2 linked regions of the Arabidopsis thaliana genome follow. The protein of the gene in region 2 interacts with the protein of the main gene of each other region in a pairwise test. Each region holds a gene or a part of one and is shown on either strand. Other genes may lie near its edges.

Evidence for each region.
Region 1: the proteins of RING (region 2) and MYB108 interact in a two-hybrid assay, tested with the Arabidopsis thaliana proteins (one study listed by BioGRID).

What each region holds. Positions count from the first base shown.
Region 1 is NC_003074.8:2,001,118-2,007,268, reverse strand, and holds MYB108 (myb domain protein 108), read right to left. Parts: upstream 3,877-6,151; 5' UTR 3,773-3,876; intron 3,394-3,772; 5' UTR 2,972-3,393; coding exon 2,818-2,971; intron 2,078-2,817; coding exon 1,948-2,077; intron 1,599-1,947; coding exon 911-1,598; 3' UTR 542-910; downstream 1-541. UniProt on the Arabidopsis thaliana protein: Transcription factor contributing to the regulation of stamen maturation and male fertility in response to jasmonate signaling. Required for correct timing of anther dehiscence. Acts as a negative regulator of abscisic acid-induced cell death.
Region 2 is NC_003075.7:10,712,877-10,716,769, reverse strand, and holds RING (SBP (S-ribonuclease binding protein) family protein), read left to right. Parts: upstream 1-2,024; 5' UTR 2,025-2,134; coding exon 2,135-2,190; intron 2,191-2,278; coding exon 2,279-3,137; 3' UTR 3,138-3,360; downstream 3,361-3,893.

The sequences.
Region 1 (6,151 bases), on a different chromosome or scaffold from region 2:
CGAGTAAGGACACGGTTTTTGTCTACATATTGGTGTAACGGTCCGTACAATAATGCGTTTTCAATAATTAACTAAGGGTTTTTTGGACATATTTAGTGGTGGGTTATCATCACTTAGCATGTATTTTAACAAACAATTAACTTTTCAATGAATAAACCCCTTAATGGCCACCTTAAACTCAAAGCCCAGATCAGAACCAACCAGATTTTGCCACGTGGCTCTGGAATATAACAATCAATTTCTAAATGTCTTCTTTTGAACCCAAAGAAAGGCTTTCACACTCAGTCAGTACTCACACACCACACACTAGTTCATTTTATTTTCCATATACATGCTCTATAGACATAGTTCCAAAAAAGTAGTATCACTTGGATTATCCATTTTATAGTACCAAAGTCATTATTATACTATCTTTAAAAAAATATTTTACGATGTCTTGTTCTGTTTGTTTGTGTCATATATTGGGTTAAATATTAAACATGGTGGAACCAATTATGAGCTTCGTCGTTCGAATATAATAAATAAATGAATAATGTTTTATATTATGCTTCCATTGAGGAAATCACTCAATCTATAGTGTGAATACAATTTCCATTATTTATGTTTATAGTATACATAGTCCCACCGACGAATGAGTTATTTTCCAAACATTAAATCATAAATTATTTCATCCAAGTTTATCAATTATCCACAAAATATCATTGCAATCCCCCCCAAAAAACAAAACCAATCAAGTTTAGCGCTTTGTTAAAACGCCATGATATATGATCAAGCTTGGTATAAAAAACCTGATCATATATCCTATGAACAATTCTTTGTTTTTAATTATTCCCTTACAACAAATTCCTTTCACACGTATACTATAGTGTATAATTTAACTTAAAACGATTTCTATTTTTTTTTTCTAACTTCAGAAGCTACCATTATTGTTGAACTGTTGTTGCTGCTGTAAGAACCAGAATTCTTCATCAGTTTCTCCAATGTTCCATAAACTGTCTGAAGAAGAAGCAGCACCATTAATGTTTTCAAACCAGCTGAGGTTACTCTGCTCTTGCATAGCCGTTAGATCTTCGTCTAATAATCCACTATAGTCGAAATAATTATCCGGTAATAATTGTGAACTCACTAAATTCTGATCTGGATAATAACTATTCCCCATTTGACCCGAATAGTATTCCGGGTTAGGGTTTGGAGCGCTGTAGTACTCCGTTAAGTCTGACGCCGGAGACACTGCCACGCTGGAATTTTCAGGCGTGATATAATCATTGTTGCTCATTACACCAAACTGTTGTCCCATGTTGTTGTTGTTGTAGTCGTAATTCATGAATTGATTGTTAGAGGTTGTGATGCAAGATGACGTGCCGGCTGATCCTGTGGTGGTGGTGGTTGTGGTGGTGGCTGCTGCTGCGGATGAGGCCGAGGCTGACTGAATCCTCTCGACTAGTCGAGGCATCCACAAGTACTTCATTGTGTCTTTGAATTGTTGGCTATTCACATCACATTTCAACTGTTTCGCATGCTTTTGCACCCGCGTCCTCCAGTAGTTCTTGATCTCGTTGTCCGTTCTTCCCGGTAAATATTGTGCGATTTTTGACCATCTACATCAAAATAACAAGATATAAATTAACGGTTCTAAACTAATAGTAGTGATAATCAAATTCTTATTTTCTTGGCGTCTATAACATTATTATTCATTAGTATATCTCAGTATCATACATTTAATCTCTTTTCATCCATCAACATCGACATAATTTGTTATTTTCTCCATTTTAAAATAGTTATGATGTTATTTTATTTCCAATTCACAAAAAAAATCTTATTATATGTTTGATGCATAATTTTATGTAAAACCAGATTTAATTCATTTAAATAAACTCATCAACTACATATTGTATAATTTAGTTGGAAAAGGTGTTATACTGTTTTATTTATTTTAATTTAGCATACCTATTTCCCCAACGGGAATGAAGTTCGAGGATCAAGAGTTGTTCTTCAAGTGTAATGTTTCCACGGCGGACGTCAGGGCGGAGATAGTTTAACCACCTTAGTCTACAGCTTTTACCGGTGCGTTGGAGGCCTGTTTCATTGGTAAAAGATAATATGAGGATTAATTTACCGGTCGGTCATGTCTACGTATAGTATGATGATTTTATACGGAAGAAACTCATTATAATATTTGTTTCATTTTCGTTAAAGTTATATCAAATTCCCCAATGAAATAAAATGGACCGTATTATGATGCAAATTGTCCTAAAGGGTCTTTTTCTTCAGCAAGCTTTCTCCCATTGAGTTAGTGCTCTTCCCTTATAGATGATGATCATTAATTCGCATTAGTTCTTCTTTTTTTCACCCATTTAATAACCAAATTTGGATATTTTATTCAAATTTGAGATGGTTAATAATTGAATCCATTACCAAAAGATCTCACTCAAATCATCAATACTTTATTTATTGGAAGGAAATTATATTTAGAAATAAGAAGAAGACGAGAAAGAGAAAACATGAGAGGTATGCACTTTTTGATTCATACCTATGAAGGGTCTTTTCATATATGCATATAGGGAAAGAAACCATTTTCGAATAATAATTTTTTCTAAAAACTATCTTTAAAAATAGTAAAGGTTGGGCAATTTAAAAGAAAAAAAAAAACACAAATCACACATGGTGATTGAAACATGAAAAGGATTGAACAAAAAGCAATAAATCAATTATGTTATGCGACTTGTTCTTTGGCTCTTTATGCTTAAAAGATGCTCATGGAAGTGGAAAATAGATATATACAACTATATTATCTGTATATGAAAATATATATCATACCGGCGCAACGAGAAAGAGAGTTCCAGCGACCTTCTCCATTAGTAGCAATGTAATTCATGAGCTTAAAATCTTCTTCAGCAGTCCACGGACCTCTCTTTAGGTCCATCTCGTCTTCCATGTTGTTGTTCTTCAAGCTTCTTCCTTTTTCATCCATTGATATACACAGAAGAGACCACAACAAGATTGTTCAGCAAAAAGATTGAGACTTTCTACTTTTTTTCTATGTTGTTTTGCGAAGAGAGATAGAGAGAGAAAATTTGTTTGTTTTTTGGAGTTATGTGTAGATAGAGATAGGATGAGTTTTGAATGCACAAGAAAAAGAGAAGTTGTGGGTTTTATAGAAGAAAAAAGAAGATAGTTTTCAATTTTTCTTTTTATTTTTTAAAATTATTTGGAACATGTGCGATGAAGGGAATAGACAGCCGTAATATAGGAACTGTATGTTTATTTTTTATTTTTATTTTTTGGCAGCAGGAACTGTATGTTTATTGATTTAATTTTTTTTATAATTTTGTACTCTTAAATTCTGTTTATAAGCTCTTCAAAGTTTTAGAATTCGTGAAGGTGAAAAAAAAACTATCGAATACGAGTAGTCCACTTGGCTGAACAATTATTATTCTCTTAGGGGAAGTGAGTCTTTGCATTCAAATTTCATTATAGCCTTCCGTATCCATATAATTACATAAATTTCAAAATTATGAATTTAATTCATCAATGGAATATTTCACATTTAAAAAAAATAAAAAAAATCATAGTTTTGAGCCTACTTCATTTTTAACTATACGCACATACAAACAAAAACTATAATTTTATGTGCGTGAAGGTTAAGACTATATGATATGAATGTATAAAATATTTTCGTATATCTAATTACAAATAAATAATAATGATTAATAATTTCAAAATATTTAAATTAAAATTAGAGTTATGATAAATATATAGTCAAAGTGTAAACATTTTTTTTTTTTTTTTTTTGGTTGGCAAACAGTCAAAGTGTAAACATAAAACATCAAATTTAGTAATAAAAAACGCGACCAGCAATAAATCTTCGGTGGTATTGTTAGTACTTACTTCGTTTTGTTATTTCAGATTTTGGTAAAACTATTTTTTTCCCATGTGGTGAGAGTAGTAACTTTCAAAAAAAAAAAAAAAAAAAAAAAAAAAAAAAAATCATATACAGAAATACTAAAATTAGATGTTATTGTGGTTAATATTCTGTCACGTTGATAAAAGAGCACTAAATAAAAAACTTAATTTAGGATCGACATGCTTCAAAAGAGTTTTTAGTTTCCTCTTGTTACTTGGTTTGGTGCAAAAAAAAAAAAAAAAAAACACTCTCGTCTTTAGTTAATACTCTTTATATCAAGAATTAAAGAGGTCTTAGTTAAACCTAAACCAATTAAGAAAAATACAAAAATATTTGAAAATCTATAAATAAGAATTAATATAGTCTATTGAAAATTGTAGGGTTAAAAATTAAAAACTGAACCAGATGAAGAGTTAATACTAGAAGTCTATAAGCAGAAAAAGATGCCGTCCAGATAAAATATCAGTTAAAGCCTTAAAGGACTCCAGCAGGAATAATTTAGTAAAGAGTTAATTATCACTTACCACTTAATTAAGCACTGAGTTTTAATAGTTGACCCGCTGACTTTCCATCTCCGTGCATAAAATAACTCTGTTTCCGTTTTCTGATTTCTATTGAAAACTTTGTGCTATAATAATCAATATGTTTATTTCCTTTTATGGGTTTCTAATTTATTCAAACAAGTTGCCAATAACAAATATATTCCCCTTTTTTTTTTTTTTCTACTTTCCACTTATTTCTTCCAGTTCTTATTTGACCATAAAAGTCTGAATTTATTTCACCCAAGAGGCACGACACCTATTGTTTTATCGTCATCAAATTTTAGATTTTGAGTCGTGAATCGTATACGAATTTAAATACAACTCCGAATTATATGTTTCTTTTCAAATTAGTGAAACTAGCCACAGGTAGGTTCTAACTTCTAAGTAATTAGTTAGATATCACTTTAACATTCAGCTTAATTATATGTGTCTTGTTAAGAAAAAAATAGAGTTCCGAAGCTTAGATATGCGACTATGCGAGGTGAAGAGTTTTAAAAATCAGAGATTCTTTTATCCAGTGTATATGATAGTATTAATTTGCTTAAGTTGTGCAAGTATCAGAAGACAAAAGTGGAAATGTCTACGTATCAATTATCATACGTCCTGTCGATTTTTTTTTCTTTTCAAAGTCTGTAAACATCAAAAAGACAACTTGATATTGTGTAACTTAGATATAATAGTGAACTTTGGTATAATCTCACTTTAAATACTTGAAAGCTCTCAAGCCTTCATGCACGATTCCAATTGGATGACTACTCAAAAAACTTAAATTTAAATAGAAATTTGACATTATACATACATAATGCATTATATTTATATACATAGATATATGTACTCGCCGGCACTCATGATCTAGAATATACCCTAGCTAGGAAATTTGTAATGCTTCAAAAAAACATTCTCAAAACCATCTTTTTAATTATATATATATATATATATATAACTATATATTCGCAAAACTATCTATTACAAACCATCAAAAAAATAAAATTTTAAAGAAATATAAAATTTCTCCTAAAATATTAATGTCATAAACTTGGTAAGCTTGTATTCATAAATGCAATCGGAAACAATTAATAGATGCTTAGCATTTAAACCAAAAACAAACAAAAAAGATGCTGAAAGAACTGCAAGCAAAAGCATATCTTAAATGACATCCCATGGTCCACAATTTAGATAATGCTAGGTTAATTACTAGTATGTAAAAAGCTTATAACAATAGTAAAAATATACTATTGTTTTGCTGTTATCAATTGCAAAAAAACAAAAAAAAAATGTAATACCAAAAGAATATACTACAACTATTTGTTTCTTAGTATGTTTTTACATTTTAATCATCTTAACTAGTACTATCGTTTATTGTTTGCTATTTGTACCACTAAATCAGATTTATTACAATCATTTGTTTATCTGATCGTGTAAATTGATTAACGAGTCTCTATATGTTTGAATCATGACTTTTCTTTTATTTCTACTGTAGCATGACTTATTCCAACAAACGTATAACGTAATTAATACACAAATTATGAAATTAATCGACATTATTAAATATATTGGACCACTCTCTAAAATAACCCCACGCTCAAAGCAACTACGCTAATTGTTGTAATAAATTAAATATCATTCACTACACCTTTTTGTGCACTAAAATGTAACTTAACCTACTACTAAACGACGCCAAACTAATTACTATATGCATCAACTT
Region 2 (3,893 bases):
ACTTGCAAATAAATTACTTGCAAGTAACACTTTCGAATTACTTAAAATTACTTATTATTTTATTTATCATATTTTTTACTTATTTAAAATTTACTTTACTTCTAATATAGTTTTAAAATGTGTCTAACACTAAAACAATACAATATATGTATAGAAAATGGTAAAATAATGACGAGTATCGAGTCAAACGAGTCGAGTATTAGTTTTTTTTCATTACTTGTTACTTGATTTGTACTTGCAAGTATCTAAATTATACTACTTGTTACTTGCCTTGTTAAAAACGAGCATTTGTTTTTTCAAGGCGAATACGAATCAAGTAGCGAATATAAGACGAGTAACGAGTACTTATGTCTAGCCCTAATAAATATATATGTGTTTTTTCAATAACTATAACAAAAATAATCGATTAACTCTTTTGTGCTCAAGTTACTATGTAAAAATTGGTATGAACAACATTAGATACGCATCATGATAATGTTTGTTTAGTGGATAAAAAATCGATTAACAATAAAAAAAAATAGAGAGAGGCATGAAAACGAAAATAAGGAAAAGAAAAAGACTATTCGTTTGGTGTGGTCGACCTGTCCCACACCGAGGAAATCACACTTTTATGACAAGACCTACTTGTCCGTACTATATAACATTATCGAATGATTCCGATTTTCTCTTTCCTTTTTTTTTTCTTTAATACGGAAATTACTAATTAAAAATTAAAAAGCGACCAGACGACAATTCAAGAAGCAAACAAAATTGGTGGTACCGAAACAATAAATCTTTTTTATTTATTTCTAAACAATTATTAATTTATTGAAAATTTCACGAAGAAATGAAACAGAAAGTTTTTCTTGGTCCCACTTAGACGTGGCCTCAATCTTCACATCATGGCCCCACACGCTTCTCACGTGCAACTTAACCAGTTACGACAAAACAAAATTAAGAAACATATTAACTTTAGAAATGTATTTACAATGGTTAAATTATTGTTTTGTGCCATTTCGTTTAATACAATGCACCGCTACATGATCTTAAGATAGCTCACGGAAAATTTAGAAAAGTAAATCACAAGTCCCAAATATGCCACGGTGGAAGATGACATGGCAGATATAAAGCGGAGCTTTGCCACATTGAATAAAATTACGAGAGTAACTTTATAGTTTGTAAAATTAAAATCATGGGAATGGTTTAAATTTTAAATAAAATAAAACTGAAGAAATGAAGAGTATGCATATTTAATACTATCTTTTGATATGAAATTTAATTACAGTAATCACAAAATAAGGAAAAGTTAATAAGAAAAATATGGGTTGACTAAAGAGAGGTTAATTTGGAATCTTTTTACAGAAGAGAATACAGTGAACTAACATAAAAATTTTATTAGGAAAGACAGCTTTACACATTTTTAAAAATGCATTTAAGGAAAAAACAGCTTTGCACCTTTTTTTATAGGATTTGCATCTTTAAATTTTAGAAATAATACAAAAAAGGATGGACAAGAACATAAAATCTAATAGTTTTTTCAACAAAAGAAAAAATCGAATAGTTTATGCTAATATCATTAACATATTAGCAAAAAAAAATTTATTGATTTTATAATGGCTCTTTGACTAGTCAAGCTTGCATATGTTTATGTGGATGTTGCTAAGGAAACATGCATGAGTGCATCAATAAATAAGAAAGAAATATTACAAAAAAAAAACTTTTTACACGTCCCAATATTTGCAAACTTCAAGAAAGATAGTATATATTGTTGAATAAAAACTTAGTATATTTTATATTTCTCTAGATTATATTCCTTTTAAGTTCATAAAATTGGTTGTTTCTTTTTCTTTTTCCTTTTACAAAAATCAACTGTATTTTACTAACATTTAATTTACAAAAACTTTAATTACTAAACACAATTGGTAATATACCATGAAAGTCAATATCTAATTTGAATTCATAATTATTCTAAATATCTAAAATATTTAAATAGTAAAAGTAATAAATATGTATTTATAGAAAATTAAAAAAATATTGACTTTTTTCTCTCCCTTAAATAAAAGCCAATCCCATAGATTTCTTCACCAGTCGCCACAACTCCTCCCTCTTCTCTCTCTCTTTGTTTCAGAATCTCTAGGAGCTTTTTTCAACAACAATGGCTGTTCAAGCTCATCACATGAACATTTTCTCTCAGTTTATATCACCAAACAGGTAAAAATCTCATTTTTATATTCTTCTCACAAACAAACTTCCTCTGTTTTTATTTTCCTCTAATCTTTTTTATTTTTGTTATTTGCAGAGATTGTGTTAAATTTCAAGAAAACATGAACCACGGCGAGTTTGAGTTTACCGGCGGTGAAGTTCCGTTAATAACCGGAGAATCTTTCGCCGTTGAGCCTTTAGCTGCGAAAGCCAACTTCAACAAAGCAGAAAGTGGTCTCAGTTACAATTTCACTGTTCCTCCTCTGTCTACAAAACGCCAGCGAGATTTTCAATTCTCAGACTCAAACGCTCCGGTTAAACGGAGGTCCGTAGCGTTTGACTCATCATCACCGTCGTTGATAAACGTTGAACTCGTATCTCAGATTCAAAACCAACAACAGTCAGAGATCGATAGGTTCGTAGCTCAGCAAACGGAGAAGCTAAGAATAGAGATTGAAGCAAGGCAACAAACGCAAACGCGGATGTTAGCGTCTGCGGTTCAAAACGTTATAGCCAAGAAACTAAAAGAGAAAGACGATGAAATCGTACGGATTCGAAACCTAAACTGGGTTTTACAAGAGAGGGTGAAGAGTCTTTACGTCGAAAATCAGATTTGGCGTGATATCGCTCAAACCAACGAAGCAAACGCTAATACTCTTCGAACAAACCTAGACCAAGTTCTTGCTCAACTCGAAACGTTTCCAACCGCTTCAGCCGTTGTAGAAGACGATGCGGAATCGAGTTGTGGAAGTTGTTGCGGTGATGGTGGTGGTGAAGCGGTAACGGCGGTTGGTGGTGGTTGTAAACGGTGCGGTGAGAGAGAAGCGAGTGTGTTGGTGTTACCATGTCGTCATTTGTGTTTGTGTACGGTTTGTGGTGGTTCGGCTTTGTTACGGACTTGTCCGGTTTGCGATATGGTCATGAACGCTAGTGTGCATGTTAACATGTCTTCTTGACCATCTTTTTTTTTTGTTCGTTACAATTTAATTTATATTTTTTTTGTTTCCTTAGGATTATATTCGCAAAAGAAATAGCAAATTGATTCTTTTCTTTTTGTAAGTACATATAAATTAGTTTTTGGTTAACTCTTGATTTTCTTACGACTTAAATGGAATCCAAGACTGAAAATTGCAAAAAAGAAAGACGAAATAATTTGTCGAAGAGAATTTAAAGGCTCCTCCTCTCATTATGTGTGGGAAAAAAAGAAAGAATAAATCATATAAATGAATTTAAAGTGATTCGAAAATGTTTTGAAAAGTAAATATTCCAGAGTTCTTTTTAAGTTGCACCGTTGTTTGGTTGCTTATTCTCAAAGTCGATCACATGAGTTTGAATTATCTACCACCTTTTAAAGATTATCATAGCGTCGATATAAATTGAAAAAGGTATAAAAATGGTCTATGGATATATACTATTGCAATTTGGAAGTATCCTTTATCTTTCCAACCCCGCAACTATATTCAACCAGAAGAATCATACTTCGCTATCGAAACTAAAATAAATTATGATAAAAGAAAAAGAAATAGTCTGAATTCGATTGTCTCAACGACATTTTCAGTTCATAGTCATTATAGTTGTCGTGTAATAAATATTTCATATTCGGATCATGTCATGTGCAGTGCATGTCTAGACAAAATAAAATACCCCCACTAAAATGGATTTTTAAAATTATATCCTATATTAATTCTATAAACGACGAAATTAGAACGATG